Sus scrofa: one gene and its partners. The protein of the gene in region 3 purifies or fractionates together with the protein of the main gene of each other region. This does not show direct contact. Links are inferred from orthologs where the notes say so. Each region holds a gene or a part of one and is shown on either strand. Other genes may lie near its edges.

Region 1 (3,529 bases), on a different chromosome or scaffold from region 3:
GCAAAACAGTTAGTGGATAGATTGCAGTCATAGCGTGTCCTCTTAATTTAATGGGATCATAATTGCCTGCAATTTCACCTTATGCCAAGTCTTCCCTTGACAACTACTTAAAGTATAACTTAAACATATCTGAAATGTCACTAAATATGTCTTTGTTGATGTTGTTTAATGCCAAATATTTTGGTTTATTTTTTTTCCACCTGTAGGCTAAAGAAATCCTGACAAAAGAATCCAACGTGCAAGAGGTTCGATGTCCAGTCACTGTCTGTGGAGATGTGCACGGGCAATTTCATGATCTCATGGAACTGTTTAGAATTGGTGGCAAATCACCAGATACGAATTACCTGTTTATGGGAGATTACGTTGACAGAGGATATTATTCCGTTGAAACAGTTACTCTGCTTGTAGCTCTTAAGGTAATTTCAGTTTTATGTCTGAGCAGTTTGAATTGGGTAAGACAGTCCTCTTGAATTTCTTTTCCAGTCGTCTTTGGTTTTCTCCATCTGAATGTTAGCTTTTAGAATAAAACTCCACCTTTGTAGATGTTTTTGAAGCATTATAAAGGAACAAAGGTTTCAGATGTTTATATTCTTTGACATAATATTTCTATTATTAAAATTTTACTGAGGGAGAATTTAATAAGAGGAAAGGAGCTTTATTTAGGTGAAAACATAAATTGTAGCATTATCTTTAATACCAGAAAAAGAATTGATATATTGGAGTTCCCTTGTGGAGCAGAGGGTTAAGTATCCAGCAGTTGTTACTGCAATGGCTGAGGTTGTTCCCTTGTGGAGCAGAGGGTTAAGTATCCAGCAGTTGTTACTGCAATGGCTGAGGTTGTTGCTGTGGTGTGGGCCAGGAACTTTCACATGCCATAGGCACGGCCAAGAAAAGAAAAAGAATTGAAATAAATAACTAACAATAAGTGAATATTGAAATTATGGTTTATCTCAGTGGAGTAGTTTGTAGCCATTAAACATGACATGTAACCTAGAGCAATGGGAGTGATAAAGCAAGTTGTTTTGTACCAGCTGTAGCTTTGGGGAATTTGCAAAGATCTGAAGGTGAAACAAAACAGTGAAGAGCTTTTTAGGATGGTCTTTCTCTTAAAATAAATTATTTGACTTGACTTTGGGGGAGAAAACTTTATTAAAGAATATGTAGGCGTTCCCATCATGGCTCAGTGGTTAACGAACCCGACTAGCAACCATGAGGATTCGGGTTCGATCCCTGGCCTCACTCAGTGGGTTAAGGATCTGGCATTGCCATGAGCTGTGATGTAGGTCACAGATGCGGCTCAGATCCTGCATTGCTGTGGCTCTGGCGTAGGCCGGAGACTACAGCTCCGATTAGACCCCTAACCTGGGAACCTCCGTATACCGCGGTGCGGCCCTGAAAAGGCAAAAGACAAAAAAAGACAGAGATTATGTAGACTGGTGAGATGGCTGCCAAGATCTAGTATTGGAAAAGCAGGTGTGGTTTTGGCAAGAGCTGCATTTTAGGCAATTAATAAAATGTAAATGTGAAGCTACTAGTCTAAATCTTGTAAATTGCTACAAAACATTTTTGGAGGTGGTTATGTTTTGCATCTCTAAATTGTAGTAGTTGAATTAAAGGATGGTAAGTTTTCTCTAGTAACTCTGGATACTTGGAAAGCAGCCTTGCAAGCTAACCTTTACTTTAAAAGCCCAGGGTGAATCCCAGTGCTCAGAGGAGTAATGAATATGCTACCTTTAAGAATTCACATTTGAATGTGTCAGGGGTTGAATTGTGCCACTACCACCTGATCCCCACATTGATGTGTTGAAGTCCTAACTCCCAATACCTCAGAAGGTGTCTGTATTGGAGACAGTGTTTGAAGAGGTAATGAGAGTATAAAGTGAGGTCATATGAATGAGCTCTAATCCAGCCTGACTGGTGTCCTTCTAAGAAGAGATTAGGACACAGATTCAGAGGGAAGATGACGAAAAGGCACACGGAAAAGATGGCCATTTTTTTAGTTGAAGGGGAGAGAGGGGCCTTCAGAAGAAACCACTCCTGCTGACACCTTGATCTTGGGACTTCTAACCTCTAGAAACTGTTAGGAAATAAATACCTATTGTTTAAGGCTTCTGGTCTGTGGTACCTTGTATGGTAGCCCTAGGAGACTATTACAGTTTGGTATCTATACACACACAAAAAAATGAACCATAGATACCTCATACCATATATTTAGATGGACCGTAATTGATCATAGACCTAAGTATGGGTGCTAAAACTGTGAAACTTCTAAAGAGAAACATAGAAGCGTTCCTGTAGTGGCTCAGCGAGTTAAGGACCTGACATTGTCTCTGTGAAGATGCAAGTTCAATCCCTGGCTTTGCTCAGTGGGTTAAGGATCTGGCATTGCTTTGAGCTACAGCATAGGCCAGAGTTGCCAGTCCAGTTGACTCCTGGCTTTGGAACTTCCACATGCTGCAGGTGCAGCCATTTTAAATGATTAATTAAAATTAAAAATCTTTGTAACCTTGGAGTTATGTCATGTTATGTCATGTGGTTATGTCATGGCTCAGTGGTTAACAAAGCCAGCTAGCATCCATGAGGATGTGGGTTCTATCCCTGGGCTCGCTCAATGGATTAAGGATCTGGCGTTGCTCTGGGCTGTGGTATATATAGGTTGCTGATGTGACTCAGGTCTTGCGTTGCTCTGGCATAGGCAGGCAGCTGTAGCTCTGATTCGATTGACCCTTAGCCTGGGAACCTCCATATGCCGCTGGTGCAGCCCTAAAAAGACAAAAGCCAAAAAAAAAAAAAGAATTTTTTTTTTTTTTTGTAACCTTGGGTTCAGCAAAGATGTCTTAGTTAAGATACTAAAAGCACAACCAATTAAAAATCTGATAGGTGTTCTCTTGTGCAGTGGGTTAAGCATCCAGTGTTGTCACTGCAGTGGCTTGGGTCGCTGCTGTGGTGTGGGTTTGATCATTGGCCTGGGAACTTCCTCAAACTGCAGGCAAGGCCAAAAAAAAAAAGGATAAATTGGACTGCATCAAAATTGATTTTTTTGTTCTTCAAAAGACAACAGTAAGAAAAAGTATTTGTAGGAGTTCCCGTCGTGGCACAGTGGTTAACGAATCTGACCAGGAACCATGAGGTTGCAGGTTCGATCCCTGCCCTTGCTCAGTGGGTTAACGATCCGGCGTTGCCGTGAGCTGTGGTGTAGGTTGCAGACGCGGCTCCGATCCCGCGTTGCTGTGGCTCTGGCATGGGCTGGCAGCTGCAGCTCCGATTAGGCCCCTAGCCTGGGAACCTCCATATGCCGCAGGAGTGGCCCAAGAAATGGCAAAAAGACCAAAAAAAAAAAAAAAAGTATTTGTATTCATATATATACTTAAACCTGTAATAATAAGAAGGCAAATAATTTTCAGTAGACACAATATTTGAATAGATGTTTCCACCAGGAACATACATGAATGGCCAGTAAGCACATGAAAAGATGCTCAAACGTTAGTTATCATCAGAGAGATGCAAATTAAAGTCAAAATCAGACCCA
Region 2 (3,529 bases), on a different chromosome or scaffold from region 3:
AGCTGAGGACAGAGCTGCTGACAGGCAACGGCCTCAGGCGCTCACGCCACCGGGGCACCCTGGGGCCCATGCCTCCTGACTTGTTACCGTGAGGCCTGGAGGGACATGTGACTGGCTGAGCAATGCGGCCCCTGAGCCCAGCAGACCTAGCACGGGGCGGGAACTCAGTCATTACTGACCTAACAAAGGGGGACTCAACTCATTCTAATCTTCCCACAAAGATGCGGAGATCAGTGGTCTGACGTCCAGCCCAGCCCGACAGCAGGGAAATCGGAAAGCAATCACAGACGCAAGTGCTTCCTGGGCCCGGGCAGGGAACAGAGGGAAGCCTTGGGCAAAGGGATAGTGCTGCCTGACCCAGAGGGGCCAGCAGACACCCATCCCCAGGGCACGTGCTCCCCAAAGGCAGCACGGGGAGGACTGGGGTTTCCCTCGCTGAGAACGCGCAGGGGGAAGACCCGGAACGGGCGGGGAAGGCGCCCTGGGCTCCAGTCCTGGCTGGCCCCAGGCCCCGGGCCCTTGAGAAGGCGTGGGGCTCTCAACAGTGTTTTCTGCTCTGAGTCCTCTGAGAAGCTGCTAAAAGCTGTGAATTCTCTCCTCAGGAAAAGTGACAAGCATCAGGGGCTGCAGACAGTTCCATGGAGTTCAAGGGACCCCCTGCAGGCTGGCCCAGCGACCACATCACATCACGTCGCATCAGAGGAGGGCATTAGACAGTTCTACTGTGTGTCAAAGGTATGAAATTACCCCATTCACATATGACCTTGTGTGTGTACATCTACAAATTACACATGCACACAGATGAAAGACGGGACACCAGAATTTCACGGTAATTATCACATTTTCCTAGAGTTAATGCTTCATGAATGTTTGGAAGGAAACAAACTACCATCTTTGCTCAAATCCAAGATGCCAACAATTCTAACAAACACCTTATTTCATGCACCACGAAAAGGAAGAAAGCCTGCTGACAGTAACTAACTGTAAACATCCCAAGCGCAGACGCCAACGTATGGAAATGTGCCTTTAGACGTGAAACACAGAATGACTGCGGGGGGACGGAGGCAACAGCTACAGCCCACGGCTCCGAGGAACAGAGAAAACCGGGAACGGAGCTCCCCCTAGGTTCTGCTGACCCAGAATTCAGCACTGGGGCACCTCCTCCCGTCTCTTCTCCCAAACAGCAGTCACATCTGTGTCCCCAGCCATTACCCAGCACAGGGCGGCCCAGGCTGGGGAGGCAGGGCCTGGGGAAGCGTCACTCGGACACGCCTGGAATCCCTGCTCTGCCACCCGACCTTGGACAAGCTGCCTCCCCTCTGTGCTCCGGGAGGCTGTCTATACCCTAAGGGCAGACACGACCTCATCACACGGGGCATGATGACAGCTAACATCTGTCAGCACCTGCACAGAGCAAGCACCATGCTGAGACCACTGCTGGGTCTGTTCTAAGGTAAGCGTTAATGCCTCACCCTCAACAGAAGAGGAAAGCATAGCACAGAGAGGGTAAGAAACTTACAAGTCACACAGCAATTAAGCGGAAGAACCCAGCCCGACCTCAGCCTCATGTGCAGAGTGCCAGGAAGGACCAGCTCTGGTCAGGCACGCCCGATCGACGGCATCACCGATGCCAGCATTTTCGTGACTGCTGTTTTAAATGCCACTGCTGACCTGCCAGGGTCAAGTCAACATCCAAGGCCGATGTGTTCCACGGGGATGGCCTGCGCCCAGGCTGGCGGGACCGTGGGCCAGACCCCACCAGCGGCGGGCGGGGGACGGTCCACTTCCAGACTCACCAGCAGGCAGTGCACGTACTCGGGGCCTCCGACCAGCGTGGTGAAGGTGCCCAGCTGTTCCGCCAGGGCCAGCAGGACCTCGTCCTCATCGTAGATGGTGTCTGGGGGACAAGACAGACAGTGTCACAATCCCGCCCCAGGTCTGACCCCGGCCCCTCCGTCGCCCAAGCTCAGAACAAGCAGGCTCCACACCGCCTCCTCGAACTGGCAGCCGCCCTCCGCTGTGCGGGCAGAGATGAAGACACAGGCTGGGGTCGGGCAACAGAGCGCCCGTGACTAGGGGTGGGACGCTGCATTCCGTTTCTGCAGCTGCACGCCGGTGCCGACCACCTCCGCCCTCAGGGAAGGGCACAGTGAGGCACCAACAAGGCCTGTGTCCGAGCGCAGGGCCTGCCCTGCAACTCTCAGCTCTCGCCCTCAGCGCTGTCGCTGCCAGCGACGCCTCCCGCTTCGGCCTGAGGAGCTCTTCTCCGTCCCTGCACACTCAGGTCGGCTACTGGGTCCTGGAAGAGTTCCAGGATGCCCCCAGAAAGGCAGGTCCCTTCTCTGGGCTCACGGCCCAGCCACGCCGCCTCTGCGGAGACCACGTCTCAGGCTAGGACCGCCCGAGCCTGTGCCACAGCTCCTGCCAGAGACAGCACGGCACGGCGGGCACTCCGCCTGCTCAACGTCGCTGAAAGAAGGCGACCAAGAAAGAACTGCTCTGCCCCAAGGCCTAAACGCAAAGGCCTTTGGCCAGCCCCCCCCCCCCGCTCGCCGAGGCACTGGCATCCCTCGGGTCCACTGCCACGTCCTGAGTTTACGAGAGGCAGACTCCCCGTCTTGTGGACGGTTCAAGTCCCGCTCTGTGGCTGTGGGGCAACTACCTTCACCTCTGAGATTATCCCCTCAGCCCCAGACGACAACACGGTTGTTCTGACTGAAGGGAAGTAGCTGCTTTCTGCGAAGAGCTCACGTGGGCCCAGCACAGGTCCGCGCTCTAGAAAGCTCCGGCCAGCGTGGCTCCACCCGCCGTGCGCCCGGGCTCCCTCTGCACGCGTTCAGATCACCCTCCCTGCTGTGCCCACCTCCCAGACTCAGGCCTGTCCGCGGCCTCGGCTCGGACCCGACTCCACCTCCAGGCCAGACCCTTGGCCAAGCCCCACACAGCCAAGTAAACACACAGGAGCTGCCAGCACCTGATTCCTACCCTTCCCGCCTCCACAGAACTGCCTTCCCAGCCTCCCCGTCCTCTCGGCCTCCTCCGGCCTGACCCAGATCCGTCACCCCCAAGCTAACGGGGCCTTGCGTCTCCCCCACGTCGCCACGGTCAGCCCCGCCTCCGCTGACTATTTAGTCCCGCCAGCTTCCCTCCCGGCTGCACCCCCACCACCTCATCAAAGAATCACCAGCAGCCTGTTCTGTCTTCGTGGATCAGGCTCTGCATGGAGCTCCAAACCCCCCAACCGCACGGGGAGTTAGGTCCTCCTCGCCCCCCTGCAGAGCGGTGGAGTGAGGTCACCTGCTCAAAGTCACCTGTCGTCACACGTACAGATGCCCGCCATTCACATGCATTCAGAGGTAGACACACCTGTGCCCCTCGGTCATGCACCGTGACTGCGGGCAAGGCCCAAAGGGTCTCTTTGGGCCTCAGCTTCCGCCAGGGTTGAAGGACTTGGGGGCAGTGATCCCTGCCTCCCCTGCCCCGTCCCCCACACCATCACTTGGCCCCGGTGAGAGGATGGGACAGGGAA
Region 3 (4,145 bases):
GGCCCCCTGGTCTTGAAACACACCCGTTTTTCTATGAATGGGTCATTTTTTCTAGGTTGTCAAGTTAACGGGCATGCTGCCACGCACAGCTCCCTTCTCTTTTCACCCGTGGCTGCTCCTCCGGCCTCTCCCGGGCTCTGCCTCGCAGAGGCTGTCCTGCCGTCTCTGCAGAGAACCCCCACCCCGGGCTCTGGCCCTCTTCCCGGGCCACGGGCCTCTGCCCTGCCCTTCCCACTCTGCTCTTCCACCGACTTAATCGGCCACGGCCCTGCTTCTCTGCCGGGACCGCAGCTCGGGGCCTCCCCGCCCTGCTCCTCTGCGCGTCCCTCTCAGCCAGGCTTCGGCTCTGTCGCGCGTCTGGCTCGCACTGCATCTGTTACTGTTCACGTCCACACTTCCTCGCTGCCCTCGGGACTCCTCCTCTGACCCAAGACCTTGTCAGGATTGGGTTTTAGACATCCGAACAGCGGTTGAAAAGGGAACGGGAGTTCCCGCCATGGCGCAGTGGTTAAGGAATCAGACTAGGAACCATGAGGTGGCGGGTTTGATCCCTGGCCTCGCTCAGTGGGTTAAGGATCCGGCGTTACCGTGAGCTGTGGTGTAGGTCGCAGACGCGGCTCGGATCCCGCGTTGCCTTGGCTCTGGCGTAGGCCGGCGGCTACAGCTCCGATTCGACCCCTAGCCTGGGAACCTCCATATGCCGTGGGAGCGGCCCTAGAAAAGGCAAAAAAAAAAAAAAAAAAAAGAGAAGGGAGCCTGTCAGAGGGAGGGGACAGACCAGCAAGGGAACAGAGGCGCGAACCTGTTCCCACAGGAGAGGCGCTGGCCGTCCACCAGAGTGCGTCACCCTGGCACCAGCTCCTCCCCTAGAACGGGGCCAGCCGTCCACCCCCAATTCCGGAAGCCCTGGCGTGACCCGTCCACTGCACTGGTAAGAACTGACAGGTGGAGTTCCCGTAGTGGCTCAGTGATTAATGAACCTGACTAGGAACCATGAGGTTGCAGGTTCGCTCCCTGGCTTCGCTCAGTGGATTAAGGATCCAGCGTTGCCGTGAGCTGTGGTGCAGGTGGCAGACGTGGCTGGAATCTGGCACTGCTGTGGCTGTGGCCAGCAGCTGCACCCCTAGCCTGGGAACCGCCACGTGCCGTGAGTGCGGCCCTACAAAGAAGAAAAAAATAAGAACTGATAGGGGCCAAGAGGGCCACTGGGTGCCTGCGGTCAGCGCTGCTCCCGCTACGTGGCGGCAGCTCACTCGGGCCCCAGACCTACCTGTGCCCTCCTGCCGTGAGTCACGTGAGCACATCCCCTGAAGCACATGTGGGGGGAAGGCACCCAGATGAGATGCTTTGAAAAACAAACTCACAGATGATGCTTCTCTCCTCTTCTCCACTAAGCTAGGCCACGCCCACGATGCCAGGCGGGGCAGTGGCCTGTGCGAACGCCGGGGGCCCTGGGGCGGGTGGGCTACCTCCTCTGCGCACGTCTAAGGGCTGACCTTACCTTCGATGGGGACCACAGATGGTTCCTTAATCGAGGGAGAGATAGCGCGTTTCTCCGCCACTGCAGCCTCAGCCAGGCGGCCCAGGGCACTCAGAGGGGGTGTGGAGGAGAGCTTGGGGCGTTTGGTGAGGCCAGTCAGGGACGAGGCACCGGCCAGAGCAGCCGCAGCATCCCGCTTGCGCTCCGAGGGCAGGCCAGAAGGCGCAGGCTTCAGCAGGGTGGATGCCGTCTTTGACTCACTGGCCTGACCCTTCGAGCCCAGAGCAATGAAGTCCCCTGGGGGAGGGTGCCCTGCGGAGAAAAGACACGGAGCCACGTGCTCCTTCACACAGCGGCCGAGGGGGCAAGGGTGCTGGAGACCCACTCCGGCCTCCCGCTACTTCAGAGACGAAACGAGGATCGGGGGAGGCCAGGAACAGGTCAGCCAGCCAGTCCACAGCAGAGCGGGGACTGCATCGCCGCCAGTCACAGAGCTCGCCACAGGCCCGGCGGTCTCTGGCTCACAAGGGCCAGTGCCCGAGGCCTCCGCCGGCTTCGGAAACGGGCGTGATCACGCTCACTTCCAGGTGAGGACGACCAGGCACGGGGAGTTAAGTAACAGGGCCAAGGCCACACAGCTGGGGAGGGGCACAGCAGGCCCCGAGGCCAGCCTGCCTTCAGCCACCACGCCGGTGCCGCCGCTTCCCCCGACCGGGACTCCCGGGCTGCTGTCTACGCCTCAGACGCACCGTCGGACGAGAAGCCTCGTTCTGAAGGCAGTCGCGGCTGTCCCAACCCAATCCCCCGGCCCCCGCCGGGACTCCAGAGCCCCAGCGAGGCCCGGCCCAAGGGCTCCTCTTCGAACCCCACTCCTGGACACCGCGCTCGCCTCGGAGCAACGAAGCCGCAACCCGACCCAGGAGCCGGGCTGAAGCCCCGATGCCGCACGCCGCCGGGAGAGGCCCGCGCACCTGAAGGCTTGGCCGCAGCGCTGGGCCTACGGACGGTGGTGGGCTTGGCCCGGTTCATTCTGTCCCCGACCCCTCGCCGCTCCTCACTACCGACGCCTCAGCGGGGAGAGGACCAGCGCCACTCAGGCGTCCGTCGCTCGCCCATTCATTCGGATCCGCCGTCGGGCGCTGGGGCCCCGGGTGAATGGCCCGCCCCGCCGCGCGCAGCGACTCCCGAAGCGGCCGCGCGACCCCGCCTCGGACCCGGGCAGGGTTTGCGTCGCCGGCAGCCGCGCCACACCAACTCTGGCTCAGCGCATCGGTCCCCAACCGCCGCCACAGCCGCTCCGGAACCGGAACTGCCCTCAGAGCCCCACTTCCGGAACACCCGGAAGCAAAACAGCGCGGCGGGGGGGGCGGGGGAGCGCGGCGAGGCCAGAGGGTCCGCGGCCCCTGAGCGGTGCCTGCAGCGCCCTCAGGCGGCGGGAGGTCGGCAGGGCCTCGGAGCCGCCGGTCTCTACCTGGCGAGGTGGGCCGGGTCACCCGCTCCTGCAGGTGAGGCTGACCTTACTTAGTGATGTGCCCAAGGACACAGCTAGGAAGGGTGGCCTCGGATCCTAACCCATACGTGCTGGGCCTTCAGAGGCCTCTTCCTTTTGTGGGTCAAAGGGCAGAGCCTGGGTCCCCATGGTGGGGTCCAGGAGGGAGCTCAGCACTGGGAGTGGGCAGAGCACACAGAAGGGCAAGAGGGACCGGGCATCCCCAGGCCGGCCCAAGTGTGGGGCCAGGTGTCATCAGAGCAGGACTGAGAGCATCAGCCTCAGTGTGCTGGCCGGCACAGTGGGTCCCTGTGACATGTACCAGGTCTGTTCGGTGGCAGAGGATGCCAGCACCTCTGCGCGAGAGTCCATGCTGAGACCCTCATGTTCTCCTCCTCCTGGGGGTCGTCACGCGGTCCTAGGCCCTGCAGCCCCACCTCACCAGGCACAGGGCTGCCGGCCACTTGCAGCCGGTGGCCTCCTTATGGGAGGCCCTGACGGGTCCGGCTGAGCGGAGGGTCTCTGCAGGCGCAGTCCTCGCAAACCAAGTGCCTCAGAAAGGCGGCATCCCAGAGAAACGCAGCCCAGCATTGGCTAAAGCTGAGAAACAGCTCCTGCAGTAACTACTGCTTTGGGGGAAAGCGAGGAGTTTTACAGAGGGGGGTCCCAGTTAGAAACTTGCAGACAGCGGGCCGTCCAGATGTGCTGGGCCAGCTGCCAGCCTCCATCAGTCAGGGCCCCTCTGGGGGAGGAGTCACAGCTGCAAGGCCTTCTAGTCTAGTCTAAGGAGGGGCAGGGCCCACGTCAGGTGCTGGCTGAACACACAGTGGATCCTCTTGGCAGCCCTGAGCTTCTCCAGATGGGAACTCAGAGGAGCTGGGCGTCCCCGGGACGCAGGCGCAGCCAGAAGCCCTCCTGGGGTGGGTCACGTCTCTGAGTGAGGCTTTGTGCTAAGAGACTCTGTGGCTCTCACAGTCCAGCCCCAGCCCCACGGGGGAGACTTCCCTAACCGTGGACCCCACCAGCCGGCTGACTCGGGCCCCGACGTCTCTAGCCCAGGGTACCATCAGCTGCAACTGGGGTGTTGGGGTTCTAAGCCAGGGGTCCCCAGGTTCCCAGGGGCTTCTGCTGGAAGCACAGCCCCCAAGGACGGTTGAGGCCCTGGACGGGGCCAGG

Evidence for each region. Proteins that work in one complex are often made in the same cells at the same time.
Region 1: the proteins of INTS1 (region 3) and PPP2CA purify together in Homo sapiens (affinity purification with mass spectrometry; 5 studies listed by BioGRID and IntAct, with this or other methods). This does not show direct contact. The link is inferred for Sus scrofa from reciprocal best matches to the Homo sapiens genes INTS1 and PPP2CA.
Region 2: the proteins of INTS1 (region 3) and PPP2R1A purify together in Homo sapiens (affinity purification with mass spectrometry; 4 studies listed by BioGRID and IntAct, with this or other methods). This does not show direct contact. The link is inferred for Sus scrofa from reciprocal best matches to the Homo sapiens genes INTS1 and PPP2R1A.

The regions. Positions count from the first base shown.
Region 1 is NC_010444.4:136,505,616-136,509,144, reverse strand, and holds part of PPP2CA (serine/threonine-protein phosphatase 2A catalytic subunit alpha isoform), read left to right. Parts: intron 1-206; coding exon 207-416; intron 417-3,529. UniProt on the Homo sapiens protein: Catalytic subunit of protein phosphatase 2A (PP2A), a serine/threonine phosphatase involved in the regulation of a wide variety of enzymes, signal transduction pathways, and cellular events.
Region 2 is NC_010448.4:57,944,434-57,947,962, forward strand, and holds part of PPP2R1A (serine/threonine-protein phosphatase 2A 65 kDa regulatory subunit A alpha isoform), read right to left. Parts: intron 1,898-3,529; coding exon 1,797-1,897; intron 1-1,796. UniProt on the Homo sapiens protein: The PR65 subunit of protein phosphatase 2A serves as a scaffolding molecule to coordinate the assembly of the catalytic subunit and a variable regulatory B subunit.
Region 3 is NC_010445.4:1,002,785-1,006,929, forward strand, and holds the start of INTS1 (integrator complex subunit 1), read right to left. Parts: upstream 2,801-4,145; 5' UTR 2,510-2,800; coding exon 2,452-2,509; intron 1,793-2,451; coding exon 1,502-1,792; intron 1-1,501. UniProt on the Homo sapiens protein: Component of the integrator complex, a multiprotein complex that terminates RNA polymerase II (Pol II) transcription in the promoter-proximal region of genes.